4 linked regions of the Coturnix japonica genome follow. The protein of the gene in region 2 purifies or fractionates together with the protein of the main gene of each other region. This does not show direct contact. Links are inferred from orthologs where the notes say so. Each region holds a gene or a part of one and is shown on either strand. Other genes may lie near its edges. The genes, in order: ORC2, FXR1, CEP63 and TDRD3.

Region 1 (6,731 bases), on a different chromosome or scaffold from region 2:
GTGTACGGTTTCTTTGATCAGTTCTGTGCTGTTTTTTCTGACCTTGCAGATTCATCTTTAGAGCTCTATGTCCTCATTCATAACCTGGACAGCCAGATGTTGAGAGGAGAAAGAAGTCAGCAGATCCTTGCACAGTTATCCTCTCTGCCTAGCATTTACCTCATTGCTTCTATCGATCACATCAATGCTCCTCTCAGTGAGTCCTCTTGGGCCTGATGTAGAATCTGCATTCTACTGTAGGTCTGCAGTGCATGTTTCATAAGCTCACGGATTACTCTTGGTGTGCAAAATAGACCTGGTGATGTATGTATGGTTGTAGTGGTTGGAAGCCCTGATTGGAACTGTGGCCTTTTGCAACCCAAATTGTATAAAGATGCTAAGAACTACCAGTCTCTGATTATAGTATAAGAAAAAAAAAAAAAGCACCATAAGAGCAAGAAAAAAAGAATGTTCAAAAAACAAGAAAAAAACCTCCAAGCCTGTGGCACTCTTTTATTTAGTGACTTACTGAAATGGAGATTGGATGCCAGATCTGTCACTACATCTAAACAATTTTATCAAAAATGCTTTTCCTACTGCTGATTCTGGAACAATATACAGCGTATCCATGAAGCTGGTGTGTAAAGAGGATGTGTGCAAATTTTCCATTGCAGAGGGCTGTCTTGCCTGAACTGCAGCATCTAGGTGTATGTACTGTGAATTTCACAAGCATACATTTTCTTCCTCAAATACTACAGTAGATCTAAGTATATTATAATATTGCTTATTTAATATCCCCAAAAAAGCTAACCCTCCAACTTCTGTCTGTTCTTTTTCCTCTCTGTGTAGTGTGGGATCAGGCAAAGCAAAGCCTCTACAATTGGCTTTGGTATGAGACGACAACATTTAGTCCTTATGTAGAAGAAACATCTTATGAAAACTCACTGTTAGTACAGCAATCTGGATCTTTGGCTTTGAGCTCCCTAACACATGTCTTGCGCAGCCTCACTCCCAATGCCAGGTAAGACACTGATAGACTTTACAGTAGAACCTGCTGAGAATCTAGTCTTCATTAGGTTACTCTGGACTTCTGTGTTAACTGTTAAGCATACACCTACCAGGAGGCAATCCCTGTTTTCTGACAGCAGTTTTCAAGATGAAAATGATGGGACCTAGCTTTCATGTGTTTGATTACTTTAAATGGAAGCAAGCTTTAGCCAGCAACTACATGAGTCCTTGTAATAAAAGATAAATTAGTATTTGCTAATGTTTTTTTTTTTTTTTTCCTTTGGATTTCCCCTTCTCATCTCTCTGCTTAGGGGAATATTCAGACTGCTTGCTCAGTACCAGCTGGAGAACAAGGACAACGCATCTTACTCAGGTGCATACCTACTGTTACCTCACCTGTTTGGGATGGCATTGCTAGCTCAGTCACAGTGGCACTGGCTTTCAGTGTATGGGTTGCATCATGAGCAAAAAAAGACCTGTACTTGTTGGTTCAGTGAGTCTTGGTAGTATAGATCGTCTGTTTATTGCTGCTGGATAGACTAGCTTCATTCTAGCCTTCTCTTAATGTTGTCTGCTTTCATGTTTAGACATTATTGGGACCACTGGGGTGACTGTGGGGCTACAGAATTAAAATCAAGGGAGAATATGAGCTTGCACAATAGTAGTGCTTCATGAACCGGGGAAAAACAGGAGATTTGGTTTCCATGCTGTTCCCGAGTAATCTCTAAAGTGTCCCTGCTTTCTAGGGTCCATGTGGAATGCACTGTCATGGTCTTAACAGATGCTGCAGAGGATGAGCAGCATGTTAATGGTGCAGAAAGATGGAAGTGAGATGGAGCAGTTGGAAATTGAGAGATGTGTTTTGTTGGGAAGTGCCATTGAAATTCTATTAGGCAGGCAGCGTGTCTGGAATGTTAAATCAACTGTTTTCTGTTGATTAGTGAAATATTAACTTGGCTGAGTACTTGAAGTGATGTTGTTGCCATAAACATTGTGGTGTAAACCAAAGCAACATTTGTGGGTAGGGAAAAAAGTTCACAGTTAGACATGGAAAAATGGGGCAAACTTACAATTTCAGATCCTTGTTCTCACCGTCTCTGTCTCCAGGCCTCTCTTTCCAAGACTTCTACCAGCAGTGTCGAGAGGCCTTCCTTGTAAACAGTGACCTAACACTCAGGGCACAGCTGACAGAATTCAGGGACCACAAGCTCATTCGGACCAAGCGGGTGAGTTGCAGAAAGACAGTAATTCTGGGGGTTCAGTTATGTCAAATAAAAAGCTGCTCTATTCTGTAAGAGCATACCTAAGATGCAAGTGTGTGGCTCACAGTGAGGCTTTGCATTTTGAAGCATCTGGGCACTAGCAAAGTGCTGAAATTTTGTAATAGCAGCTCTTTCCATAACCTCAATCATGAGCACCCTTCATGAGTACAGGAGCTATAGAAACAAACAAAAAACACACAACCAAATCAAAGCAACAACAGTGTGGTTTAGTTAACTCAGCAACTTATGGGTCTCTGTAGAACACAACTTCCTGAAGACTTGGAGATGTAATGGATGTTGGAGCCTGACGGTGTGATTGAATGTTACCTGTATTTGCATGGCAGAAGAGTATAGAGTCCTAATAATGAGGCAGTGTAGCAATGGTAGATGTGAGAATATGGTGTTGAGGAGGTGTGTAGTGATACAATAGCACAGCCCGCCAGAAGCTTTGCATTTTTTCAGTATTTGTGCTTTTCAAGTGTTGCTCTAGGGAAATGTGCTTGGACTTAGCAGTGTGTAGTCAGTCACAATGCTTGCCAGCTCTCATCCTGGCTGCAGGTATTCAAAGTAAGTGTTGCAGTGCTATCTAATGGCTTGCATTGCACTATGCACCAGTGTTAACGGAATGTATGTTGTGTATCTTTTCTCAGGGAGCTGATGGTGTGGAGTACTTATCAGTACCTGTAGATGACAATACCTTGAGCGACTTCTTAGAGAAAGAGGATGAAGATGTATAACGTCTGTCTGTTCCCAAAACAACTACGGCAATTGCTCTCAAGGGCTGCTGGAGAGGGGCCTATGCTCAGGTCTTTCTCTGCAGCTTCAAAGCTGCTGGACTACTTACTGAAATGTATTAACTGTAATGAACGTTTCTTGTTCATCCGCTTCAGGTAGTTTGGAATGATAACTTCTTAAAGCAAGCTATTTCTTGCTCTGAAGTTAGATTTATCTGCTTTGTCTCTTAGCTCAGATGATGCCATCTTCATATCTGCGTAGCCAACTATACAGTCAGGATAACTAACTCAGTAAGATTGTGCCTTCTGCTCTTTACCAGACATGAGGGTTTGGTTGGAGTAGTTCATGTGAGAAGTGCAAACCACAAGATGGTCAGAGCTTTAGTTTGTACCAGTGATGGATTTTTTTTTTTTTTCCTCAATTGAGTGCTTTGTGGCACTCCTTTACCAGCTAGACAAGATTGGCTTCCAGCATATGAAGAAGCCATTTTTATAATGCTAAGAGACCTGTATTGATTGCACAAGGAATATGAGCAGGTTTGGGATGCTGTGGGTAACTTATTAAATTCTGACAGTGGAACTGAAGGACTTTTCCCCATGATGGAATTCTTTTATAAGAGGATTTAGGTAACAACTTGTGTCCATCGCAGTTTTGATGACCTCTTGGTGAGGGTGAGATATTTCAGCTTCTTTCATCTACTTTCCAATTTATAATCTGGAAATATGAAGAGGCTGTGAAGTTTAGTTTACTTTAAAAATAAATAGATTGATTGTATATATGTATTTTTTTACGTTGGGAGTGTCCATTGATTGTGGAGGTGGCCTTAAATGCCACTTAACAAGCTCTCCTTTTTTGTAGCCATTAGAGATTGGGAGGGTGCTGAAGCTTCACAGGTTTTCAATGTGTTTCTCAGGTATGTGGAGTAAGCCCTAGTTTCATCAACTGTAGTCTGCTAATCAGACTTCAGGGACTCCAATGTCTGACACTTGGTAGCTGTGTTACAGCTCAACGTTGTAATAGTTCAAATCAATCAAATAAAGTTCTTTAATAATTTTCATTAGCTTATCTAATTTTCCACATGTGTTTTTATGTTATGGGAAGATAGAGATCTTTCTTGGAAGTTACATGAAAGCCTCATTTTCATTCTTATGTCAAATATCTGTGCAAATCCTTGTGCAAGGGGCAAAAGACTTCAAACTAATTTTAAAAAGTATTCTATATTCTTTGAAGGTACCAAAAATAATAATAGTTTGTATGCTTTGTAATGCCTGTGTATAGCTTTATAAAAGAACCAAAACATCACATGTAATACTACTGTTACCTCTCAGTGCTATACCCCCACTACACCCCTCACTGGCAGAAGCAATAGGACATAGATTTACAACCTGACTTCGATTTGTGTTGAAAACATGGAATATCTATTTATCAAATTGATTGTTCGAATATAGGAGCTATTTCATTTTGCTGAAATGTGATAGGAGGGTAAACTGGTGCTTGCCAGCAGTGCTCTCCAGCTTCCGTCCCCAGAACATCTGAGGAAACAGGAAAAGACAACAAGGAAACTCAAGGAAAATACTTAAAGGAATGAAGGACTCCTCCAGGAAGGAGCCAAGGCTGGCTGCCCAGCTGAAGTGCCTCTACACAACACACACAGCTTGGGAAACAAACAGGAGGAGTTGGACTGTGCTACTTAAAAACCATGGCATAATTGCCATCATTGAAGCCTAGTGGGATGATTCCCAAGACAGGATTGTGGCTCCCAACAGTTACAACTTGTTCAGAAGGAACATGCACAGAAGGAGAGGAGGAAGCATTGTCCTCTACATCAATGTTCCAGAAAAACAGCCACAAGCAAGTTGAAAGTCTATGTGTGAGTTAGAGACTGGAAGCAATAAACATAGCCTTGTAGTTGGAGTCTGCTACAGGCTGCCTGATCAGGTAGAGCCTGTTGACAAAGCCTTCTTTTTCTAGCTACAAGAGACATCACAGTTGCAGGCTCTCGTCCTGCTGGATGCATGGTGAGCTGGAGGCAGACAAGGTTTTGCACCTCGGTCATGGCAGCTGGGAGATGAAATGATAGAGCACAGCCCTGCCAAAATAGACTTGAGTGTACTGTTGGATGGCAAGCTGGACTTGAGACAGCAGTGTGCCCTTGCAGCCTAGAGAGCCAACTGTATCCTGGGCTGCAATGAAAGAAGTCTGGTCAGCCCACCAAGGAAGGTGATTCTGCCCCTCTACTCTGTGCTGTTGAGACCTTACCTGGAGTACTGCATCCAGATGTGGAGTCCTCAGTGCAGAAGAGATGTAGACCTGTTAGTGCACATCCAGAAGAGGCCCACAAAAATGATCAAAGGTATGGAACACCTCCCCTGTGGGGACAGGCTGAGAGAGCTGCAGCTGTTCTACCTGGAGAAGGCTCTGGGGAGACCTGAGAGCAGCTTTTCAGTACCTGAAGGGGGGCTATAAGGGAGAAGGGGACCACCTCTTTAGCAGGGTCTGTGATGACAGGACAAGGGTAATGGTTTCAAAGTAAAAGAGGGGAGTTTTAAACTGGATATAAGGGAAAAGCTTTTTACAATACGGGTTGTGAGGCACTGTAACAGGTTGCCCAGAGGTGGTGGGTGCCTTGTTCTTGGAGACATTAAACATCAGGCTGGACAGGGTTCCAAGCAGCTTGGTCTAACTGTAGATTGTTCGTTACAGGGAAGTTGCCCTAGATGACCTCTAAAAGTCCCTTTGAACTCAATTGTTTCTATGATTTCCAACTGACTTTCTCCTTTGGAGGCCTGTGCATCTGTGTTTTACAGGCTGCAATTATAAAAAATGTGTGAAACATTAGATCCCGCCTATTGCTTCTTAGGCTACCATTAGAACCACTAAAACTGTCCAGGCCTACATTAGCTGTAGAGTTCAAAAACAATTGCTCTGATAGCTGTGCAGCCCCCTCTTTTATTTGGGAAGGAAGAAATCTTCCCTCACTTTGATCCTTAGCTGTCTTTGTGGCATTGAGAAGAATGATTGTTTTTTTATCACCTCAGCAGTTTCAAATAATACTGAATTTAGCCATCTTTCTCCATTTGTACTTAAATGGAAGATGGTGTGCAATTACACTTAGAGCATCATCTCCAATTTTTATTCCAGTAGAAAAATGGAAACATAAGCGCTTGTTTCAGGCTGTGGCAGTGCTGCTTTCTATCAAGGTTTCCAAGAGTAATTAATTGATTTCAGTCAGTTTGAAGAAGTAGGACTAGTTCCCTTGTACTGGGTTGACATCTCCCTATAAATCACATCACTTTGCTAGGTACACCTAGAAGGCTGAGCAAGTAACACGTTCTTGAAGGGTAGCAGGCTGGCTGTTTAATGGCTTGAAGTTTTATTGAACAAGAGGGCAAATTAAGATATGAAAGAGGGGGCTTAAAATGCTTGGCAGTGTGGTTAAGCTGTATGAAAGTACAGCTGCTGGTGGCAAGCATCTGGTCGCAGCTTCACATCACAGTTCTGGAGTGGCTGCCTCCAAGTCAGTGTGTGAGACTTCTGGGAAAGCCTAAGTAGCAGAACAGCTTATTGACATTTTACTGGGGTACTTCTCACAGTGCTCCACTGAGGAAGGACATGGTTTTCAGTTACACCCTCCTCAACTGAAACAGAACCGAAGTTACGGGGAAATATTTCCAAGAATCCCAATGATTTTAGCTACTGCAGTTAAATCTTCATGTAGTCTTCAAAACTCCAGGTTCACACAGGACT
Region 2 (7,117 bases):
TAGTGAAAGGCACATTTCAAGGATGAATTAGGAACCTGTGTATTTAAATAAATTGTAAATGTAAGCTACACTTCCAGCACATGGAAACGTCCATAGACATTATTCTTCCACAAAACAAAGAATGAAAAATCCCACACTATCTTTACTAACTCACATTATGTTTAACACTAGAAGTCTTGTTGCCATCTACACGGTAGTTCCTTGCCTTTGATGTTCCAAACCAAATGAAATGTTATTCTACCATATTATACTCATCACTCATTGACTCCCTGGTCTGATTCAACTGGATACGATTAAATAAGCAAACATGCAGAGAAACTAATATCAGGAAAAGTCTATGTAGAAAAACAAAGCAAACACAGAAAAATCTAAGTGAAGAATTCCTGAATGGCTTTGCTTGTAAAGAAATTTCACATTTGAAAAGGCCAACTAAGCTGTTTTTGCAAAAGCTCCCTTAGTCTACATAGTATTGAGTTTGGTCCCTCCCTATGATTCAGGCTCTGGGCTTCCTGCTAATCCGCACTACCCACCTGTCAGTTCACACCCTGGCTTTTGTGATGTGAGCTGATGCAGCTCTTCATCTGGAAACCCAGTTGTGGGTCAAAGCACGGAGTGTAATACTGCACAGGTGGAACCTACTGCTCTCAAGCAGAGTAAGGTAGTTAGCTTTGAGCAATCCACACCAAACAGTGAAGCAGCCCTCAGTCTGTTATGATTGTCGTCCATACCTGAAAGCTGTTCCTAAATTTAGGCTAACTGCAGAGCAGAACTTAGAACCCCCTCCAAAGGCCTGCCCCCACACATCTACACATCTGCATATATTAAACTGCTCACAGCTTACACAGCTCTTGAAGTTAGACCGCAATCCATAGAAATGTACAGACGGTTACAGCACTACCATACAGATGTAATGAAATTCATGCAACATTCACACAAAAATAGTTACTTACAAGTATTATTAGCTGAGCAGTTTCAGCATGATAGAAAATTCTACATGCTCCAACAGCTTTCTTGAAATCTTTATGTGCATTTTCATTAGCGCATCTAAAGAGATAAATGACTTGTCTTAAGAAGTTGCATCAAAACAAAAAAGAGTAACAGAATGACCCGGGTTGGAAGGGACCTTTAAGGATCATGCAGTTCCATTCCCTCAGCCATGGGCAGTGATGGCACCCACTGGACCCAGACCAGGCACCCACAGCTCTGGGAGGCTTCAGTCAGTGCCTCATCGTCCTCTGAGCGAAGAATTTCCTCCCAGCACCTAATCTAATTCCCCTTGTCCTATCACTTTTTGACCATGTAATAATAAAACCAGATCCCAGAATGTTTTACTAGTTTATAGTGAGGAACGTTCAGTTCTCTCTTTCTGTGCTGCCAGAGTTTATTTCTCCATGAGGCATCTCTCAGAGCCAGAGACATGCTGTGAGTTCATCAGCTACATAAGCCTGCAGCATGACTTGAAGATCCCACCTGAGCATCTGCTTTCTGTCCCCAGCCCAAGCCCTCAGCAGAGACCCCAGCCAGTAAATTCAAACTCAGCTACAGCAGCCACAGCCACCCTTATGATTCCTAATGGAGCTGCACATGACCCTCAAAAATAACATCCCAACTCCACCCCCCACCCCCACTCAAATTCTTTCCATTAAAAGAATTGCCTTATTATTAAAATACACATAACTACTCACGCATCTCTCAGATCTTCAGGAACATCCACCGTGCACTTGAAAAACGTGTTCTTTTTGACAGTTTTATTTTGATTCACAGGTCGGAGCCTTTCGTAAGTCACGATTTCATTGTAAGTGGCATCACAAGCAGCATACTCAATGACGTAGAACTATGGAAGAATTGTTTTTTTCTGAATGGTAACTTCAGTAACCACAAAAGCCAAAAGTAAAACAAGTTCTGCACGTGCAAAAACAAACAAACTAAACCACTGTTTTTCCACTACACTCAATTGAAATGTAGGTACAAACAGAACCACCATCAAAGCACTTTTGTAGATAGAGAGTGCTGAACTACTAGAATTAGATTTGCAGTCTGAACAGTGATCATAATCACAACTGAGGCTTATTACTTTATTATTTCTTAGAGCCAACTTCAGTTCACAAAGAAGGATTTTTGGAAGCCATGTACAGCATGCATGCATACAGTTCTCCATGCACTTTAATTACTAATAATCAGAATGTGCCGCTCAGCTATAAAAACACACTCCCAGTTGTATAAACACAGCATGGGTCATTTCAAAGTGATCTCAGCTTAAAAATCTGTCCTGTCATACTTTTGTACTGGTAGTTTCTTCATCTTTTGCATTATAAAGAACTTTTGTATTTACTTTATCTAACAAAGCAGCGTGAAAGCAGCAGTAAGGAGTTTACCTCTCCTTTCATCATTCGAACTTTTGCCAGCCACCAACCACAAGGCTCTTGATCGTTTGCTCTAGAATAAACCTGAAAACAAAAGCAGTTAAACACAAGTGAAAAAACAATATGTAAAGCACGGACAGACATAATTGAGTTGCCTACATTTATGATCAGAGAGGAGCATCTCAACTCCTCTAGTTCTCATTACAATGGAACAGTATGCTGCTCAGAAATATCTTTTGCCTTCAATATTATTACTTTGTGCTTCTTGCACAAGTTCTCATTACTTTGCAAGGATCATTGACAGATTTCCTTTCTATATTTCACCAACTATACAACAGAAATTGCTAGAGGGACACAAAGCCTTAAGAAAACACTTAATTCAGTGGTGATTCCTCACTAAACTTAAAGACTCTCTTAACACCAAAGATTCTCATACAGAAGGAACTCCAAAATTAAGGTTTTATTTTGCCTTTGGATAATTTGACAAACTTAAGACATCACAAACAACCACATATTTTTATTTAACAAACACTACTAACAGTACAAGACCAAATACAGAACCAGTGCTATCCAAAGCTTTCTGGTTTTCCTGGTCTTCTAATCATTTGTATGCAGACTAAACAAGAAATTTAAGTTAAGTGAAGAAATCTGAGGTAAAAAATGCCTTGAGATTAACCTCTAACAAAACCAAGGGGTTCCATGCATTTTGAATAAAAATAGAAATATCAAGCACACACAGGCAGCATTGCTTACATTATATGCCCAGAACTGTAACAGCATCTTAAAGATACGTGACTTCAATGACAAGAAAAACAGGACGTTCAACTGTGGCAATCACTAAAACTACTATGGCACACCAGGGACACAACACACACCTTATAATGTCCTGGTGTAATGTGTGATTTCTTGTTAACACTGCTTCTCCATAGAACAGCTAATACACACTGTTCCCTCCAAGATATTTACAGACAAGATATTTCACTCTGACTGAAACCCAGGTTATTGAGACATATTTAAACTTTCATAACTAAAAATCTCCAGCAGTTCTCATGAGAACTGAGAATTAGCAAGTTTGGTTTTCATCTCTTAAAATACTGGGCTCTATTTCAAATTTTAGATGAAAATCAAGTTCCACTGGTAATTTTCTGAGAAAAAAAAGACCCCTTAATTTCAGACAGCTTCTCTGCAAGCAAAACCTGCTGTCTTTCAAAGCGCTAAGAGAACACAAATGTTTTTTATTTACCAGCTTAATAAATCCATTACTTGAGACACACTCCATTTTCATTCCCCACTAATCTACTTATAATCACCATCATCTCAAAGAGACGCTCAGTTATGTAACAGAACAGCTCATTAGCCAACATCTGGATCAACTCACCTCCACTTCATCTCCTTCACCAATTTCCTTCTTGATATCAGGAGGTGGAGGTAATCTGACTTCATTAAAGGGTACCTGGCGCTCTGGCTGCCAACTGAAAGTTGAAGAGATTACACATCAGTTCCAGAATTTTTCTGTTGTTTTCTTAAAGTCTTTATTGTTAGAACTCTAAGTTTAGTTAACTCTCACTCATTTCATATTATCAAGCCTGTTTCTTCATTCCCAGGAAGCAATCTTCAAAAGCAAAGTTGCAAAACAACGCTGTCAATACAAAAACATAGCTGGGAGGATATGTAGTACCAGAACACTTCTTCAGTTAACTTCAAAAGAAAGTTCAATGGACTGTTTCCACTGAATTGATTTTATAAACCCTCCACAAGATCAGATGCCATACTGAGATGTGTGCTGCTCCATGACAGCCTTGGGAATGTGCAAATTCATCCTTGTAATCCACCTTGAGGTTTGTCCATTTTTTCAGCATTTTAACACTGACAATCCCATTGGCACTCACCATTGTAACTACTTACTATCAGTTTGTAAGCATTCCAGGAAAATCCAACTGTGTTTCCTAATAAAACTTTAGGATTTTATCTACAACTATTTCAAGCAATCTCCAACAGGAGTCTGGCAAAGAGATTCATTTCAAAACACAACTGCCTACTAATACTGATTACTACTATGCATGTCAAATTAATAAGCTAACTTCTTGTACAGAAAGGCTACTTATTTTTCTGTATTTGGTTCTGCAAGGCTTCTTATTTGTAGAGCTGTACATTTCAGATGTATTTATGAAGTCTTGTAGAGTAACTGATGTCCTCAGTATTCTCTTATAATTCCTTTATTCTCCATAAATCTTTCAGGAAGCCATGAAGCTGTTTCTCAACTCAAAATGCCAACTGAAGATAGACTAAAATAAAGCCAACACTGCCACCAACAATGACAACAAAAAACCTTACAACATCCAAGGGACTTGGACGTGGTACCTGTCCAAGTATTCCAACATCAATCATTTATGAACACCCTCAAGACCACATCAGGTACAGACAGACCCAAAGGGTTATTGCAGTTTTGCCCCAGCCATGGCTGTACAGTTCACTTTTCTCCTAACTACAGGGTAACTTTGAAAAAACACCATCTCCAATGCACAAGGAGCATTATGGATGGCTTTTGTTGAAGATGGAAAGTATTTTTGTCAAGAAGTGTCACTTAAATCTCATTTTTACCTCTGAAAAACAGTCAAGGAGGTTGGAAAAAAATCTCTTGTGATTTAATCATGCTTGTAACTGCAATGGTCACTAACCTCGGGATCTGTGTACTGCCTTTTTCCTCCCCTCATGAAGTTATTACTCTCACAGATGCAAAGGATAATGGTAAGAGTTGAGAACAAAATGCATCCCCTTGATTACAAGCTATATAAAAGTTCAATTTGGAAACAGTCAACACAATGATCATAAATGAACAACGGGATACAAATTGCTGTAAACAACTGAGCTGCTTAAAGCTCTCCTGAGAATTTCAGCTGTGCACTGCAGGTTATGAATCCAGCAAGTGGGAGCTTAGAGAAGTTACAGACTGCCCACAATGAGATGCAACAACTGAAGAGACCTCGGCACTCCAAGACAATCTTAGAGCTGTATGTAGCAGCTTTGCTTCCATCTCCGGAGGATCTCCATCTACTGTAAGGAGACAGTACAGCAATGACTCACTCATTGCAGCTATAAGGTATTTTGATATATATATATAACAAACAGGGAGAAATGTACACAGTAGGCTTGGTTTTGAGAATATGACTTAAAGTTCTGATGGCCTGAAGTCAAAAACTGGAGCAACTCACCAGCAAAATCATCACTGGCAGTTGGTGCTGGTTCACCAGCTTTGGGAACCTTGTGATAGCTATAGATAAGGACCAGTAAACAACAGCAGAAAATATGAACTGAATGCCATTAGCAGACACTCACTTTGCTAAGTGCTGATCACTATCACAACAGAAGAATGCATTCCGGATGCTACTCTCCAGCCAATTCCAATTTGATTAAAGCCCTTATGAATTTAACTCAGTAAAAAGGGTAATTTATCAGATTTACATCATGGCACAACTAGAGTAGCACATACTTCCTGATAAGGTCTATTTTTGGTCAGCAAAGCACTCAACTTTTGTTGTAGATCACCCTTTTCAGAATGAAGTTGCTGCTGCCACACAGTCAGTAAAACACATTGATGACACAGATATAAACCAGCAGAAACATGTTTGCCAATAATTAAACACCTGCTGTGAACTACAGGCACTTCCTTTAGCTCAGTTGGCTCGTGGTGTGAAAGCATGTGCCTTGAAGGCAAAGAACATCTACTCTTACAGAAAAGTAACGTGGATGTTGAATGTGAAACTGAAGATCAACAAGATGAGGATGAAGAAGCAGATCAGTGGGGTTCTGTGGGGGACAGTGAGAATGGAGAAGGAGTGGGGTGTTAAGAACACCATGAAGAGCTTCCATCACCACCCCAGGAAGTCCTAGCTACAGCTGCCACTTCATCTTCTAACCAATTTTTGTAGAAGAAAAGCTAGAAAACAGGTTAGAAAGAAAGACTAGATTTGCAGAGTAAAAAAGCAGGATCATCATTTTTTCCCCAGGATTTTTTCATGCAGGCATTACACATACATACACATACAAACATCCCAGCATTACATAAACCATTCATACAATATTGTGCATATATACAAGCAAGCTTCCCACTATTATGCCTCTTCCTCATCTTCCTTCCAGAAAGGCTGAGCGATGAACCTGCAGGCTGGTGCTGGCAGCTCAGGAACCACTTGCACATCAAAAGCTGACACATTTCTGGAAGTTGATTTTTTATGCATGTATATCCTGCACTTGTTAAAAGAAGTCACTCCATCAGGGTATTTGTATTGTTTTTTCTGGCCGATGGTGCTGATCACATTCCCCGTGTTAGACACAGAAAGAACTGCTCAGGAAACAGAGCTACTCAAGTACTTTCCATCTTTCTTTGCTGTAGGTATTAAGAATATAGACAGCTGCCACTTCTTTCTAATTAAATCTGTCCACTGCATCCACAGGCGTTACTAAAATATCAAAATAAGAAGTCAAGGAGTGCTTAATTGACTCTGTGACTTCTGACACCACAGCTATTTAAGGAATCAGTTCACGGAAACTGAATACAACAGTGAACCCGTATTCCTAGAACCAGCTTTCTAACCAAGTCTACTTCCCCTTCACATCAAAACAAACACAACAGTACACAAATGATTTTTAAGATAAAATACTTACTTGTTTTCAAACACAACAGTGAGTGAATCCTCATGAACATCTTTGATAAATCCCTGAAACAAAAACAAAGTTGTTGTAAGACACGTGGA
Region 3 (7,704 bases), about 12 Mb from region 2:
TTGTCTGAATAGAGTCACCAGTGAAGCCCGAAAGGCAGTTCATCCATAAGAACCAATTAGCAGCTGCTTCCCCATGGCCCACCTCCAGCTTCCTGCTCAGTCGGCTCATTTCAACCTGGTCATCCCCTTGCCTCTTGTTGGCTTCTTCTCTTGCCTCTCTCAGCTGTTTCTTCTGCAGCTTCTCGTAGCTTCTCTTCAGCCTGGCCAACTGCAAGAATTCAGCAAGAGGGGCAACTTTGTTCAAGGCCAGCGGGCAGGAATTAAATAGCACATTGAAGGAAGGCAAACAAAATAGCTTCACGCAAACAATTCCCCCAATCAAGGCCACACAGCTTGCAAATGAAGATTTCTATTTGTATAATGAGCCTATTATACTGATAGGATCACAAAATACGCTGAGTGGTATAAGAGGAGCAGGATGCCACGCTTAAGTCGTGACATCAGCAGCTCCAATTAGACCTCTGTCTTATCACAATGAGAGCATGACTGAAATATCGATCAGATGGAGGTCTATATGTAGCTGTTAACATGGCACCTCCTCTCTCTACAGGCAGCCCCAGGACTCTGTAACAGCAGAAGAACCTGAGGTCCATCTCCTGGTGCCAACCACAGGGACAGTTCTACATTCTTAGAGGTTAAAGTGAAGCTCAGGTGAGGAGTGGAACTCTCCCGCTCGGCAGGAGGAGGAAGATTAGAGAACTGCCATTATACATAACATCAACACTACTTCATCTGTCATCCTCTGCTCAGATACACGACGTACTTCACAATAACTGGAAAATGCCAACAGAAAATAACACTCCTACGCCTACTGCTTGAATGCTGAACTCTTATCAGAAGCAAAAGTGAGGAGAAAACTGCTGACATTTAAGTGACCCTCTGTGCAAATCACCACTCGCAACTTGCACAGATTTCTCCATCTGATGAGCTCCCCAACTCAAGCATTTAAACAAGTTTCCAAATGGTCCCTATGAACCTCAGAAGACATCATTCCCGATTTGGGAACCCATGGAGAACTTATATCTGAATCAAGACCCCATGATTCGGATCCACACAGTGGTCAGGAAAGGTTCTCCAGGGTCCTGAGTCAGGAAGGTGCTTAAGCACATTCATTGAGAATGTGTTTTGCCAAATGAGTCAGCAGATTCCAAGCACTGGTTTATCCTTTCAGCAACCTCCATGAGGTGGACACTGTACCTGTAATTTTACTGGTGATGGTGGTAAACTGAGATAAAATCTATCTACCCAAACAGTACTAAAACAGACTAAGGAACACTGCAGCTTAATGCCATCTACATGGGTAAAACACCAGTGCAGTGCAGTTTTAACCACAAGACACACACTATATTCTAGCCATTGCAATATAGCCTGATCTGGCCAAAGCACCTTAGCCTTGCTCTGCAGCCTATCCACTATTTCAGCTGGAACATCTCCTGCTAATCACACTGAGCAGTAAGGTGTTGTAAATGAGGACAGATGCCTTCTGTCACCAAAGCTGAGGCTACCAAATTAATTTAAGTTATGGCTCACAGTGAGCATCAACCAAGCTGAACTCTCCGGGGAGAAAAGGTCAGTGCTCTGCTGGCTGCTCATGCCACTTAACTCAATGCTTCTGACAAGCAAGTGGAGACAGGCAGAACAAAGGCACCAACATGGAATGCTGCTGTTCCACCTGCAGGACACTGTGTGTGTACCACCCTGCATTGAACAAGGAGCTTGTCGAGATGGAAGCTCTGAAATCACTTCTTGCAAACTGATATGGTTTGAGAGAACACAGGTCCCGTCAAATAAAATCAGACTCAGTGGAAGCAAAATGATGATGAGGCTGCGTACTGATCTGATCTCAGTTTCTCCATACAATCAAGGCCGGTTCCACCACCACCCATTTTAATTTAAGGAAGTGCTGAAGGAGCAAACTGCTGCTGCCTGTACCCATAGCAACTTCCATATGAGGGCTGTGGTGACTATGATTGGCAAATACAGGAAGATTTTGCACTAAAACTCTGCAGATGTTTAACTCATGGAAATTGCAGCTTAGAACATGTTCTTATTCCTGCAGATTTCTTTGTCACCACGTTCCCCTGATGTGCCCAAAAGAGGGCCAGCAAAGCACAAAAACATCACTCTGAGCTCAGTGCTCTCTTCTGTAAGAGAAGAGAATGGGAAGCTTTAAAACCATGGCACTTAAGCAATGGCAATGATGCCAAACATTTCACCTACCTGGTCACATATCAACAGGGAATTAAAAACCGACCTTCTCCTTTTGAAACTCACCTCCTCTTGAAACTTCTTCAGCTGCTGCTCATATTCCCTAACCAAGTCCTGTTTGGCTGCTTCAGTGTCTTCCAGCTGCTGCCGCAACTTGCCAACCTGAACCAAGAATTACAAAGCAGATGAACTGAGACAGAGCACACTGTCAGCAAACAGAGGGATTAGTCTTCATTTCATAAGTATACACAGTAGTGGAAGTGGCAAAGGAATGTTAAGAGATCCCAGTTTTCTAAGCTGGGGTCAGTCCTTTTGAAACAAATTAAGCTTATGTCCACATCTCTGGTTGGATGGGATGAGAACAGTCTCAGATTTGGCCTCGTGTTTTCAAGCTGTGTCTGCCTTCCGCTGGCTGAGATGAAGCTGACACTTTTGCCTTGTGACAATGTCATTTTCATGTTCATTATAAGTATCCATTATGATTTCAAACTATCTATTAAGGGAAGAGATGGCAGTGCCATCCTCTTACCCCAGTGGGATGAAGCAGAGATGTCAAATAACACATGGACAAAGAAAGAAGCAGTGCTTTGAAACTCTTGGGAAAGGTTTCCCTTCTCTTGATCCAGATCTTCCCATTCCTCTTCCTTTCTCCCCTGACTCTTTTCCCTTTTCCCATCCACAATCACCTTCCTAACTGCAGGTCCAGAACACAGTGGGCCAATAAACAGGATTGGCGACCCTGCTCATAGCAGAGGGGTTGGAACTGGATGAGCATCGTGGGCCTTTGCAACCCAGGCCATTCTGTGATTCTACGAAACAGCAGAAAAAACTCAACTGAAATCTGATGAAACAAACAGAAACGCAGATCCACATTCAGCCTTTACGTACCTCTTTATGCTTTTCCTCCAGTGCAGCCCTGGCAGAGGAAAGTTCCTGCTCTCGAACACCCAAACAAGCTTCCAGAGCCTGGGTCTGTCCTTCCCATTCTGCCTTCTTGTGAGCCACCATGATGTCGATCTGCTTCATCAGCTCCTGCAGCTCAGCTTCGCAGGATGTCAGGAACCCACTGCTGGAAGGGACAGAGCTTCAGGTCACAAAGAGGAGCACAGAGGTCCCACATCCCCACAGTAGTGACACCAGTGACACCAGTGATTGGTGCGGAACATCGCTGGGCAGAGACCTAAACTTGGCAGTGACTAATGGGGCATGCTTTGGAAACCCCAGTCAGAGCACATGCAGTGTGTTTTGTTTTCTAATGTCACAGCAAGCCCCTATGACCACTGGTCCCTTTATCTTGGTACTACGCATTACCTAAATAAACCACAACTTATTCTGCCCATACTTTGCATTTCCCCTTAATGCTCTTTTATACCCCCTTTCAGTCACCAGAGAAACCTCTCAGCTCCCGAAAACAAAAGCATATCACAAATGCAGACAAACCCCTACGTTGGTTGGATGACAACATGATAATGAAGAATAAAACATCCCCAACCCATTGGGGAAAGCACGCTCCCTGGCGATGCCGCAGCTTCTAATTTGTGCAGTAATTATTGAAGCCAATTCAACCAAGCCCTGTAAAACTTCACAAGTGCTAAGCTAAGGACGGTATGAAGGCTTGCAAGATACAGCCCTGGAGGGCTGTGAACTCCATGATCATCTTCACCCATTTAATTTGACTGTCAAATGGAAGGCTCTGAAAAGGAACGGAAATCAATAGGTGAAGGGATTGAAATTTCCCTGCTCCCCCAGAGCATACATACCCAGCCTTCACAAGCTGACAGATCTTCTATAGGGAAAGAAGTAGCTCTCAGAGCAGCCAAAAGCAGTTAAATTGGATGTTCACCCCGGCCTGCGAGTTACCCAAAAATTAGCAGCTATTATGCACAGCAAGAACACCTCCTGCTCAGCATCTGCTGATACACAGCTATGTCTAGACTGCATTTATACAACCAGTTAACTGCAAAAGATACAGCACTGAGTCACCTCCTCAAAGACGGCAATGGAAATGGTGTCAGTGCCTTTAGTTTTGTGTTTGTTTGATAAATGAAGCCTTGTTATTCCATCTCCAAGCCCACAAGCCTTCACCTAAGGGTTCCTCAGGGTGTCTGCAGCTCCAGCACAAGCAGGAAGTAATCAGGTGCTCTCAGCATGTCTCATTAACCTCACCGGGCTCTTAAGAAAAGGATTTACTCACTCTTCTACTTAGCACCGCACTGCAAGGCAGGAGGGGGCTTTTTAAAGGGGAAAACAAAGGGATAACGTTCTTAGAGAGGCAAAATACAGACTGCAAGGCGCTGAGGGACCGCTGCAAAGTGCCGAAGCAGCCACGTCGCTGTGCGCTGCATCCATCCGCCTGCAGAAGGTACCGAGGGTCTCATTGACACCATGGGAGCTTGGCAGAAGAGTGGCAAGGAGCGTTAAGAGGGAAGCCCCGCGGTGAGGCTGTTGTAAAGGCCGGGCACACAGCGGTGCATACATACATACGTACATACATACCTCCCCTGGCCATTCCTCTGCATGCCTGCCAGCAGAGCCTCCATCACCCAGCGCCGGCGGGGTCAGCAGGGGGGAAACCACGCAAAGCAGCGGCCACCGCATCCACGGGCAGCGGGAGGGGAAAGGTGGGGGAAATAGAGGGGCAGCAGGAAGGGCAGAGACACGAAGTGACGGGGCAGAGAAATGGTTGGTTGTACGGAACAAGAAGGTACCGCACAGTGAGCGGACCGCACCGACCGCACCGAGCCCACCCGCAGGGCGCTGCCGGCCGGGGAGGGGAAGGAACGGAGGCGGCGGCGGGTGATGACGGTACAGCGGGCGCCGGAACATCGCTGCGGGATGGGGCGGAGCGCTGCCGGCAGAACCGAGCGCGTTGGGGCCGCTCGAGTCCCCGCGGGACGGGGCTGGTACGGAGCTACCTCGGAGGGTGAGGATGGACAGCGAGGTGCAGCGGGACGGCCGCATCCTGGACCTGATCGATGACGCGTGGAGGGAGGACAAGCTGCCGTACGAGGACGTGGCCATCCCGCTGGTAGGTGGAGCACAGAGCCACATCCAGCCCGGCCTTGAATGCCTGCAGGGATGAGGCATCCACTGCCTCCTTGGGCAACATGTTCAGTGCGTCACCACCCTCTGGGTGAGGATCCTCCCCTTCCCTGTTCGCACAGGTGTAAGCCGGCCAAAATCACGGCATCTGATAATGCCTGCAAAGAGACATTGCCAAATTGCAGTGACATCATTCAGCCCTTACAGCACAGTGTGGCATCACTCTTGGAAGAAGAGCAGCTCCTTCTCAGCAGAGGAGGCAGGAAGCAGCTGCCCTCCTCCAAAACCAATAATAACCAATGCAGCAACACGGGGAGCAAATAACACGAGGAAGTCAAATGAAATCGCATTTAAACTCTCCTTCCTCCCCCCTGCATGCTGAGCAGCTTGGTGTTGTATCTCCTGTTGTTACAGCACAGCCACAGCAGAGCTCCACATGCAGCAAGAGGAAGGATTTCTCACCTTGCCATAAGAAAGCGATATGTTACAAAGCCAGCTGTCTTAATAGAGCTACGGTAAATGCAGTATCTGTATTCTGGGCAGCAACAAAGAACCACAATCTAAACAAGCAATGGAATAATTGCACCGTGTTATTATTTACTTATTTTGCATTTTCTCTATATTCTCCTTCACTGCGTGTGCAGTCTGAGTACATAGCAAGGCCCCGGGGCCCTGGAAAGCCAATTTACCTTTCAGATGAAGCATCATAATCATATGAAAAGCACATTGTTCCTCCCTGGGCTCAGTAATATTTTAACTGAATCTGGATGTATGATATGTATTGTTCAGATGCCCCCTCCAGTCTCATTTGTGGATTTTTTTGTATTTATTCATAGGAAGTCTTCGTCACCAGCTCCTTTTTAGGCAGCTTGTTATGCACTGAATGCATTGTACCTTTTTTCTTCTTGTCGTTCTCAGAATGAGCTCCCTGAACCAGAGCAAGACAATGGAGGCACAACTGAGTCTGTGAAAGAGCAAGAAATGAAGTGGACGGATTTATCTCTGCAGTATCTCCATGAAAACGTCCCTCCCACAGGAAACTGATGAATCCGGGGGCATTTCACGACAAATTCTCTGTTAACTTATTCTTTACTTGGTGCCAATTCTGTTCTTAAGTGTTTTCTACACATGATAAAAAATGTGTTTTTTCACCATCTGGAGTTGTTCTTATATGTCAAAACTGGGGATGGGATGTTTGTGACCGTGGAGGTTTATGTCCCAAGAGGTATAACTGTGTTTTGTGTTAGAGTTCGCTGCCAGTGCTGACCACTGTATATTTACACGTTGTTTAAATGGTGCGATTTGTGCTCAAATGATGGTTACTCAAAATCCCTATTGGCTGAGCACGTTGGATGTTCTGTGAGGACATGGGCGCTGAGTAGGAGGATGCTTGGTTTGAGTGGCTGGGGCAGCCCCTGCCTGAGGAGTCAGCAGTGCCTGCTCTGAGCCAGCAGTGAGCTCATCTGAACAAGAAGGAGCTGCATGCAGCCAGCAGGCTGCTCAGGATTAACCCAAGCTTCATATGTACAGTATAGACCTTAGAAACAGCTACGCTGCTGGGAACTGTAATAGTTCAGCTCCTCGCTGTATCTCAGCAGGGGGCAAAACAGAGCTTGGGCTTAATGAGGTATTTCTGATCCTCCCCATGTTCCCTCTCCCTGCAAAGAAAACACTAGAAGCTGCGTGGTGGCTTTGTGTACCCAGCAGCCGTCTCTGTTCTCTCTTCCCTTCCCCTCTCTCACTCCATCACAGGCTCCATCCCCATCACACCAATTTTGCCACAGGATTTTCCAGCTCCAATTTCAGGCTTCCTTTCCCAGCCCTGATGGTTGTCTGTGCATCTGCCCACTTCTTACTGTCTAGCAAGGGGGGAAAAAAAGCCTTTCTCGCTTGAATTGGAGCTGAATTCACAAGGTTCCAGCAGGGCTATAAGAAAACATGGTGGGGATATGTCAGATGTGTGAGTGCTGTCCAAAACAGCAGCTCCTTGGCAGCACGTATTGAGTTGAACTGGGAACGTTGTCAGGACAAAGTGGTGCCCATCCAAATCATGAAGGACCTCACAGGTTAAAAGGGATGCTGGGCTTCCACCTGCTGGAGACAGACAGAGCGTGGGAGAACCAGAGGAACACGGATGGGAGTGTCCCAATGCTACCAATGTGGGTCCTGGGAAGCTGAGTGCTGGCCCTGCCCAGATACCGATCGGCTTTGCACACCTACGTCCTTCACTCCCTTTTGACACTCTTAGCAGAAGACGAACAGGCAGGCAGTAATTTCAACACAGGTAGTCAAAGTGCTGCTTACAGCGTGATACTGAACCGTTCCTGCCTTTGATTAGTCACAGCCCTGGGCAAACAATCTTTAAAACAAGGGATCCTGCTACAAGAGAAGGTGCCCCACCTTTTGAGAAAGAAGAGCTGGTTGTATAACTTCAGCCCCATCTTTATTTCTTGG
Region 4 (7,845 bases), on a different chromosome or scaffold from region 2:
ACCCAATCTTTTAGAAAGATTAAACCGAACATAGCTAGCGCTATATACTTTTTCCTCAAGAATACGAATGGAAAAATAACTCTTTAAAGCTCCTGAAACAGGCATTAGGAGAGTTTGAGGACAAGAGCTTAACTTAAAGCTCATAAACAGCTATAAAATGACTATTACTCTGTTTGATCCATCAGCATTACTGCATGCATTGACAGAACTAAGCCTTGTCAAAATCATCCTCCATTGGAAAAAAAAAAAAAGTATATATATATATATATATCAGGGAAAAGAATACATAATTTTTACATACACAGCTTTAAATAGCAGGACATCTGATATAGCACTGGACAGTAAATGCAAGCATCTCTAGACTGGAACTACTTCATGGAGACCAGTTGTAGCTGAAATAACAAATCCAATCATACCTTACAGCAAAAAAGTCTGCAAGAAACCAACAGACATCCACAGAGAGAGCAGAAGGCAACTAAGCACTGTTAGTTATACCGATGTATGGACAGGAACCAGGAAGCATAAGAGCAACTTCAAAGAATAATTAGAATAGGTGACGAGTTATGTTTTAACTGCTTACCATCAGCTTATCAGTACTCAGGATTTCACTGATCAGATAAATGCTTTATTTCTGAATGCTTGAGGAAGTAATGCTTAAATTGTAATGGAACACATATACTCAAAAGAAAATGAAGTAAATGTAGCATCACTGCTGAATAACATGTTCTAATTTTTTATAAGGCCTCCTTGTGTCTTTATTCCACTTAAAATACTTCACAAATATTCATGGTATACAGTCATTTAGATGGAAATGAATGTTCAGCTTTTTAAATCCTATGCAAATACGGCCATCTTGTGGCTAGTGCTGGTAGTATAGATTTTTTTAAAGCCATACAGAACAGATGTAAATAAATGATAAAATATTTTTATGTATTAATGACAATCACCTATGACGGTCAAGTAACCATACATTTTCTAAAAATATTTATCTATTGCATTTATACTACACAATAAATTTACTTTCCCTGCAAGATGGAAAACAGATCACACATTCTTGAGATACAGATACATAATGCGGATAGAAATTTTGTATGAGAGGAAAAACTATAGCATGAAATTTTTTGATCTGTTCTGAAGCATTTCTGAACTACAAACGACTGCCTTCTACCAACAGATTATATAGACAAGTCACTCCTGTCCCAATCAAGCCACCACTGTACTAAAAGGACATGACATAGTTGCCACTACTAAAACCTTGTAGGATGATTTCCACAATTGGAGTGCAGCTATCAACAAGTACAAGCTGTTCAGAAGGTGAGGAAGGACGGGAGAAGGCACTGCCCTTCACACTGAGGAAGGAACAGAGTGTAAAGACCTGTCCCTGAAGAATGGCAAAAGACCAGCATAGCTGAATGGGGATCTGCTGGTCAAACCAAAGAACAGGAAGACACAGGCAACAGAAGCAGAGACAGGTACCCTGTGAAGAATATAGGGATACTGCTAGGCTGTGTAAAAATGAGGTCAGGAAGGAGAAGGCCCAACTAGAACTGAACTTAACAATGAATGCAAATAAGGGCAAGAAAGGCTTTTACAGGTACATCACTCAGAAAAGGAAAGTTCAAGAGGGCACATCCTCACTTATGAGGAATAAGGGCAGGCTGGTAACAATGAACAGAAGAAAACTGAGGGACTTAACTTTTTTGCCTCAGTCTTCACTGGCAACTGCTCTTCACACACCCTTCAAGTGGATGGGTTGGAAGGCAGGAACTGGGGGAGTAATGTCCCTTGCACTGTAAGTGAAGATCAGGTTGGCATTCACCTGCAGAATCCAAACATCTATAGTTCTATGAACTGATGAGATGCATCTCAGAGTCCTGAGGCTGGTGTAATGGCCAAGCCTCACTCAATGATATTTGAAAAGTCAAGTCAGTCAGGTAAAGTACCTGGTGACAGGAAAAAAGACAGTGTAGCATCCACTTGTAAGAAGAGTAGAAAGAATGAACAAGTGAGGCGCTGGAATAGGCTGCCCAGAGGCTGCCAGTGCCTCATTTTTGGAAGTGTTCAAGATCTAGTGCTTGACCTAGTAGTTGGCAACTCAGCCTACAAGAGGGGTTTGTAACTGGATGACCTTTGAGGTCCCTTCCAACCAAAGATATTCTACGATTCTATGACTCACCTATGCACTGGGAAGGTCATGGAGCAGATCCTCCTGGAAGCTATGTTAAGACATATGGAAGAGAGGGAGATGTTGTAGGATGTGTGCATAAGCATGTATTCACCAAGGGCAAGTCCTGCCTGACTGACCTTGCTATTTTTGATGGTGTAACTGTGACTGAGGACAAGGGGGAGCCCCTAATGTCATCTATGTAGACTCTAGGAAGTCTTCTAACATGGTCCCCCATAACATCCTTCTCACTAAATTGGAATGATACTAATTTGATTGGTTGACTGGTTGATGGATGAGTAACTGGTTGCAAGACTGTACCTAGAAAGTAGTGATCCACGGCTCAGTGTCCGGAAAGAGATCAGTGACAAGTGGTACCCCTAAGGGGGTCAACATTGGGACTGATGCTCACTATACTTGGTCTTGACAACAGTATCATCAGAAAAAATAAATCTGGACAAATTTAAACAGCCTCACTCATCAAGCTTGTTTTCTTAAAATAATTCTGCTTTGATTTACTGCCATACTCAATTTCAACAGTAATGTAATATGTTTCTCAAGAAATTTCACATCACCGATATATGTCATGAGTATTTGGAATGTAGGAATAACTTCTTGAATGGAGAATTACCACTACCTTTAAAATATAATTCCTTGATTTATCTTATCTGTCAACTGAATTTTAGGAAGAACACAGGAAGAGCACCCCAGTGAGGTCAAAACTCAAGTACTACATAAAGATACAACAAAAGTCAAAAATCTGGAACATAAAAGTATAGAAAAAAAGAATATTATATAGATTATAAAGCACTGTATCATCTGACATGGATTATCCATACAGACTACTGGTTACACAACAACAAAGTTTACAGCTTTAATCACGTATATCAGTGGATAAATCAAGGTATTACTAACATATATCATTATGTATCATAATCTCACAGCTACTTTGCTTTATGCTTAACATGCTTTGTTGTTCTCACGAGTGAATAAGAGGGGAAAAAAAAAAAAAAAAGCAAAAGCAAAAGCAAGGCACTTGATATTAACTCAAAATCCAACAGTTTAAACTGTTTCTGAGTGATAAAGGAAGCTGCTACGATCAATCACATTTGTTTAAGGACTTCAGAATTTAGAAATAGTCTATTACAGTCTAGTGCACAAGCTAATGTGTTAACATATTTATCCTCAAATATTGGTTTAATTTGTACATGATATAATGCCAAAAAGAGACTAATGCAGTACAGATAACTGTCATCACAAAGAAATCGCAACAAGAGAAGTGAATATTATCTACCTTTTCCACCTTTCCACCATTGATGTCACTGGGGAGGAATTTCTTGCCAATGGTTCTTAAATCTGTCTGAAATTAATATAGAAGACAACAGAATATAAATCTAAAATATCCTATTTCAAAGAAAACAATCATAAAACAAGAAAAAGAAGGGCTTCTGTAATGTCAAAATAAGGATACTCTACAGATATTCAGAGCACATACCATAAAAGAGAGCATAGACATTCAACTTACTTTCTGTTGCACAATATAGCCACAGAGTGATAAGAAAGTACATTTGGTTTTCAAACTGAGCCCACCCAAGGAAACCGATCTGTCGCTTGCCTGTTATTTACCTCTGAACAGCACAGCAACTCCTTTGAACTGTCCCTGCAATAATCTGTATTCGTACAGAATTTGACAAGTCTCCAGAAAGATGCTTTGCAACTACAGCAACAAGGAAGGAGACAGAACTTTTACAAACCCTTTGCAAGATCTTAGACAAAATAAAAGCATTTGAAGAACTGAAGGCACGCTTACATTTCTTTCATTCCTATTCAAGCAATACACAAAAAAACATCAGTTGGCTTCTTGGTTTCTTTTGACTTTTAACAGCCAATGAGAGGTGTGAATTTTTAGGAAGTGGAATCTAAACTCTCTTTATCCTGCTTTTCAAAACACAATGGTATTCCCTACTTATCCAACAGGAAACATAATCTCCTGGGAATTTAAACAACAACTAACTTAAAGACAAAAATACTGATAATCCATTAAGATTGGCTTTGGGTACTTTCATAATATTTCTGGTTTATCTTGGTTATCTATCAGCCAAGCTGGAAATACAACACACAAATTTGTTTATTTCCTCGTGGCAGAAATAATTACTAAATCAAGATATCTACAGTAATTGAAGCAATGCTTGTAGTTACATAAATAAGAACGCATCATAGCAAACTCAATGTTTGCTTGAACAGGCTTTAAAAAATAGCATACCCAGAAGTCAATTTAAGTAAGGGTGTTTTACTAATCCTAGCAAGCTGATATTTTGTTCTATAATTTCTTAAATCCATACACAGCACTTCTGATTTCATTTCAAGTACTGCTTATACTTTAGATTTACATTTCCAAAACACAGAAATATCTTCCTACTGCAAATGATTCTCATTTTTCTCCCCATTAGGCTTCTAGTTGGAATAGGCGTCATTTCCAAATGAAATTCAGAAATAATTCATACATTCTGGGAAGGAGAAAGGTGCTTTGTCCTTTATGTAAATCGCACAGACAACAGTGTATTTAATTAGAGTTATAGACTTCCACCTGAGCCATCAGATATATTGTTTTCAGTGTGTTGTCAGAGAAAAAGTTCACAATCATAACTTACATTAAGTGCAACTAGGATAATGTCATTCGTATTGACTTTTTCAGATGAATTTATGCAAGTTTCGATTCCTTCATCTGAAAGATACCTGTGTTAAAGAAAAAAAAAAACAGACATATTAGGATATACATGATGTATGTAATAGGTGAATATCTGTTCTGCATGCAAAGATCATTTTTAGTTTGTATTTTCTATGTTATGAAACATAGGAAGAAAAAAACCACAAACAACCACATCAGTTTCTAAAGAGCAAGACGATGCACTCAAATGCTTTAAGGAGGCAAATATTATACTGTCATTCTACAAACTTTCTTCTTGCTCACCTAACCTACAAAATAACTTGTAGAAGTGGATTTGTATCTCCACATATCCCAAGAGTCAAATGTGGTGAACAATTTTAGAAACAGAACATCTCTGGAAGCATTTGAGATTTTCACAGTGGCAGTCCAGGATCACCACCTTCCTGCCAAAATTCTGTAAGCATGCAATAAATCTAATCACCTGGCAATTAAAGAAGACCCACTGAAAGGATGTGCATTATCAATTTAAAAGGGCTGACACATTCTCATGTTCAAAAACACTTAAGGAGAATGTAAGTTTTACTTGAGCAGTTAGAAACTGTGACATTTGTTGCTCAATTTGCCTCCTACTTCTCACTACAACCCCTCAGTTTTCATTCCCATGTAGATGGAGATCTGCTTTATCTGTACAGTTCTGCCTTTTCTTTAAAAACATCAACAGCAATCATTACACTGATAATTGTCAGACTCTGAATCTGAAACACAGAACTTGCCCAAATAATATTCATGTACCAATTACCTAACGAGAAACCATTATTCCTCAAAGAATAAATAACCATTAAAGGAAATAATAATAATAATAATAATAATTAAAGTTTAAGTATTCCAGAACACTTAAAGAAATATTTAAAGAGAATCATTCCCAAGTGTAAAATAAAATCATATAAAGATTTGAACGAAAGCAGACTCAATACACCTTTTTAATTCTAGCTCAGCTAACATGAACGTTGCCCTGACAGTGCTGCCAGACTAATTAATGATCCTCGTTGTGCTCTGACCCAGACACTTGATAGCAGTGTAGCTGTTCAAATCAGACACTGACACTTAGCAAATCCTGAGGGACCAGAACTCGATAAATAACTAAATAAATAAATTATAATGTGGAAGAAGCAATCCTATTTTTTCATACGGAGCATACACTAGAGAATAAGGTGGCAGGATTTGTTAGTCCACGCAGGAAAGCAGATTTCTCAACTGAGTGCCTCTGAGCTTGGGTATCACCACCTGTGAAGATTCAAGTGGTAATTCCCACTTGGAATTCTCAGACAGACTTGTTAGCTGGAATCGGAATGTAAAGTAGAACAGAAATCACACACCCTACCAGAGGAAATGGGAACAGGTATATTCTATAGGCAGCACTACACACCTGGGGCCTCAGCTGTGGATTAATTACACCAGTAGGGTTTCCATAAGGAGAAATTTAATAGAATCTGCAAGTCTACCTCCTATAATCTTTAGTACAGAGTTGAGGATCAGTTGTTTCAGGAGTGGGTGGAATACAAACCCCACAAGCTGAATTTCAGACAAGTTGTGGAAACATTCCTTCTCTTGTGCAAATTAAGTAATTCTTTGGTTCTGCTGAAGCTAGCAGAACTGCAATTCCATTATGAGCTACACAGTGTAGTACTGAGATGCAAGCACTAAGATTTATCAGCAGGAAAAAAATATATTCGTTAGAGAGTGAGTAAACAACAACCTGACCCAGAATTAAATTTTCCCTAGATAGGATAAAATTGATTACTTCTGCTACCATAAAACTCACTGCTGAGTCGTGTTTCCATCTCTCACTTAAAAGTGAAGGCTAAAACACAGCTGATAAAATTTCTTAGTTTCCTTTGTCTCACTACTTCATAGAATCATAGAATGGTCCAGGTTAAAAAGGATCACGGTGATCATGGAGTTTCAACCCCCTGCTGTGTGCAGGGTCACCAACCAACAGACCAAACTGCCCAGAGCCACATCTAGCCTGGCCTTGAATGCCTCCAAGGATGGGGCATCCACAGCTTCCTTGGGCAACCTGTTCCTGTGTGACACCTCCCTCTGAATTCTTCAAATGGTTTGAGACAAAATGATAAATACACATATGCACATTGAAAAAGGTTTTTCTTTTCTGACTTGTTAATATGTCAGTTAACAACAGCACTTAAGAGAAACATTGCACACCAGACTGAAATCTCCATCCACATTACAGAGGAGACAATAATGAAATGCCATTTGAGGACACCTTCTGGCTTGATTTAAGGAAACACTACAGGTTCTCAGCAAAAACACAATAATCAGTTTTTAAATTAGTCTTCAAACTAAAATAAATTTTTAAAAAAACAAAAACAAAAAAAAAAAAAACAGCCAATCAAAACAGCTTTCCAATAACTTCTCAAGTGGTGTTTCTGTGTAACAGAACATATAAGTAAAACAATCATCAGAAATGGTCAGGAGATTAGTGAAGAATTGCGATTAGAAAAGGCTGTATACCCAGACGGAACCAAAACACACATTTCTTCTACCCAGACAGAAGCCTGGAAGGAGTGCATGTCAAACTAATGATGTTTTAACCATTTAACCCTCTTGCTGCTTCATACAAGTAGTATTCCTAATACATATTTTCTTCAAAACTCTGCAAAGTTCTTTAAAATAAGTATATTTGTTCTCCTTATTGTCTATATTGCCTCCTGTAATAACTATCTAAGTTACAAACATTTCCTGCTACAGGCCCACAAAGTATTTAAGAAAAATAAATAAATAAATAAATAAGAGCCAGTAATTCTAAGAAATTTCTTCTAAAATAAATGCATTTGTACAGAGAAAACGTTTTTCAAGCATGAAATGGGAGTTATGATTGACCAAATTAGCTCTTTAGCTGGCATAAGGTCTGAAATTCCTTTGCTTGGTTGAAAGTCGCTTCTTTCTGTTCTTAATAAGGGTATGTGACGTGCTGAATGTACAGCACATAGCA

Evidence for each region.
Region 1: the proteins of FXR1 (region 2) and ORC2 purify together in Homo sapiens (affinity purification with mass spectrometry; 4 studies listed by BioGRID and IntAct, with this or other methods). This does not show direct contact. The link is inferred for Coturnix japonica from reciprocal best matches to the Homo sapiens genes FXR1 and ORC2.
Region 3: the proteins of FXR1 (region 2) and CEP63 purify together in Homo sapiens (co-immunoprecipitation; 3 studies listed by BioGRID and IntAct, with this or other methods). This does not show direct contact. The link is inferred for Coturnix japonica from reciprocal best matches to the Homo sapiens genes FXR1 and CEP63.
Region 4: the proteins of FXR1 (region 2) and TDRD3 purify together in Homo sapiens (affinity purification with mass spectrometry; 3 studies listed by BioGRID and IntAct, with this or other methods). This does not show direct contact. The link is inferred for Coturnix japonica from reciprocal best matches to the Homo sapiens genes FXR1 and TDRD3.

Annotation. Positions count from the first base shown.
Region 1 is NC_029522.1:9,810,984-9,817,714, reverse strand, and holds the end of ORC2 (origin recognition complex subunit 2), read left to right. Parts: intron 1-49; coding exon 50-196; intron 197-828; coding exon 829-1,000; intron 1,001-1,298; coding exon 1,299-1,360; intron 1,361-2,094; coding exon 2,095-2,213; intron 2,214-2,899; coding exon 2,900-2,986; 3' UTR 2,987-4,049; downstream 4,050-6,731. UniProt on the Homo sapiens protein: Component of the origin recognition complex (ORC) that binds origins of replication. DNA-binding is ATP-dependent. The specific DNA sequences that define origins of replication have not been identified yet.
Region 2 is NC_029524.1:15,044,333-15,051,449, forward strand, and holds part of FXR1 (fragile X mental retardation syndrome-related protein 1), read right to left. Parts: intron 7,082-7,117; coding exon 7,029-7,081; intron 3,836-7,028; coding exon 3,742-3,835; intron 2,448-3,741; coding exon 2,376-2,447; intron 1,835-2,375; coding exon 1,686-1,834; intron 1,045-1,685; coding exon 951-1,044; intron 1-950. UniProt on the Homo sapiens protein: mRNA-binding protein that acts as a regulator of mRNAs translation and/or stability, and which is required for various processes, such as neurogenesis, muscle development and spermatogenesis.
Region 3 is NC_029524.1:2,642,192-2,649,895, reverse strand, and holds the start of CEP63 (centrosomal protein of 63 kDa), read right to left. Parts: upstream 5,032-7,704; 5' UTR 4,749-5,031; coding exon 4,705-4,748; intron 3,278-4,704; coding exon 3,097-3,277; intron 2,371-3,096; coding exon 2,275-2,370; intron 209-2,274; coding exon 83-208; intron 1-82. Other genes in the region: ANAPC13 (anaphase-promoting complex subunit 13), read left to right, coding at 5,138-5,236, 6,169-6,294. UniProt on the Homo sapiens protein: Required for normal spindle assembly.
Region 4 is NC_029516.1:145,181,318-145,189,162, forward strand, and holds the start of TDRD3 (tudor domain-containing protein 3), read right to left. Parts: upstream 4,902-7,845; 5' UTR 4,816-4,901; intron 3,525-4,815; exon of another isoform or gene 3,521-3,524; 5' UTR 3,459-3,520; intron 1-3,458. UniProt on the Homo sapiens protein: Scaffolding protein that specifically recognizes and binds dimethylarginine-containing proteins. Plays a role in the regulation of translation of target mRNAs by binding Arg/Gly-rich motifs (GAR) in dimethylarginine-containing proteins.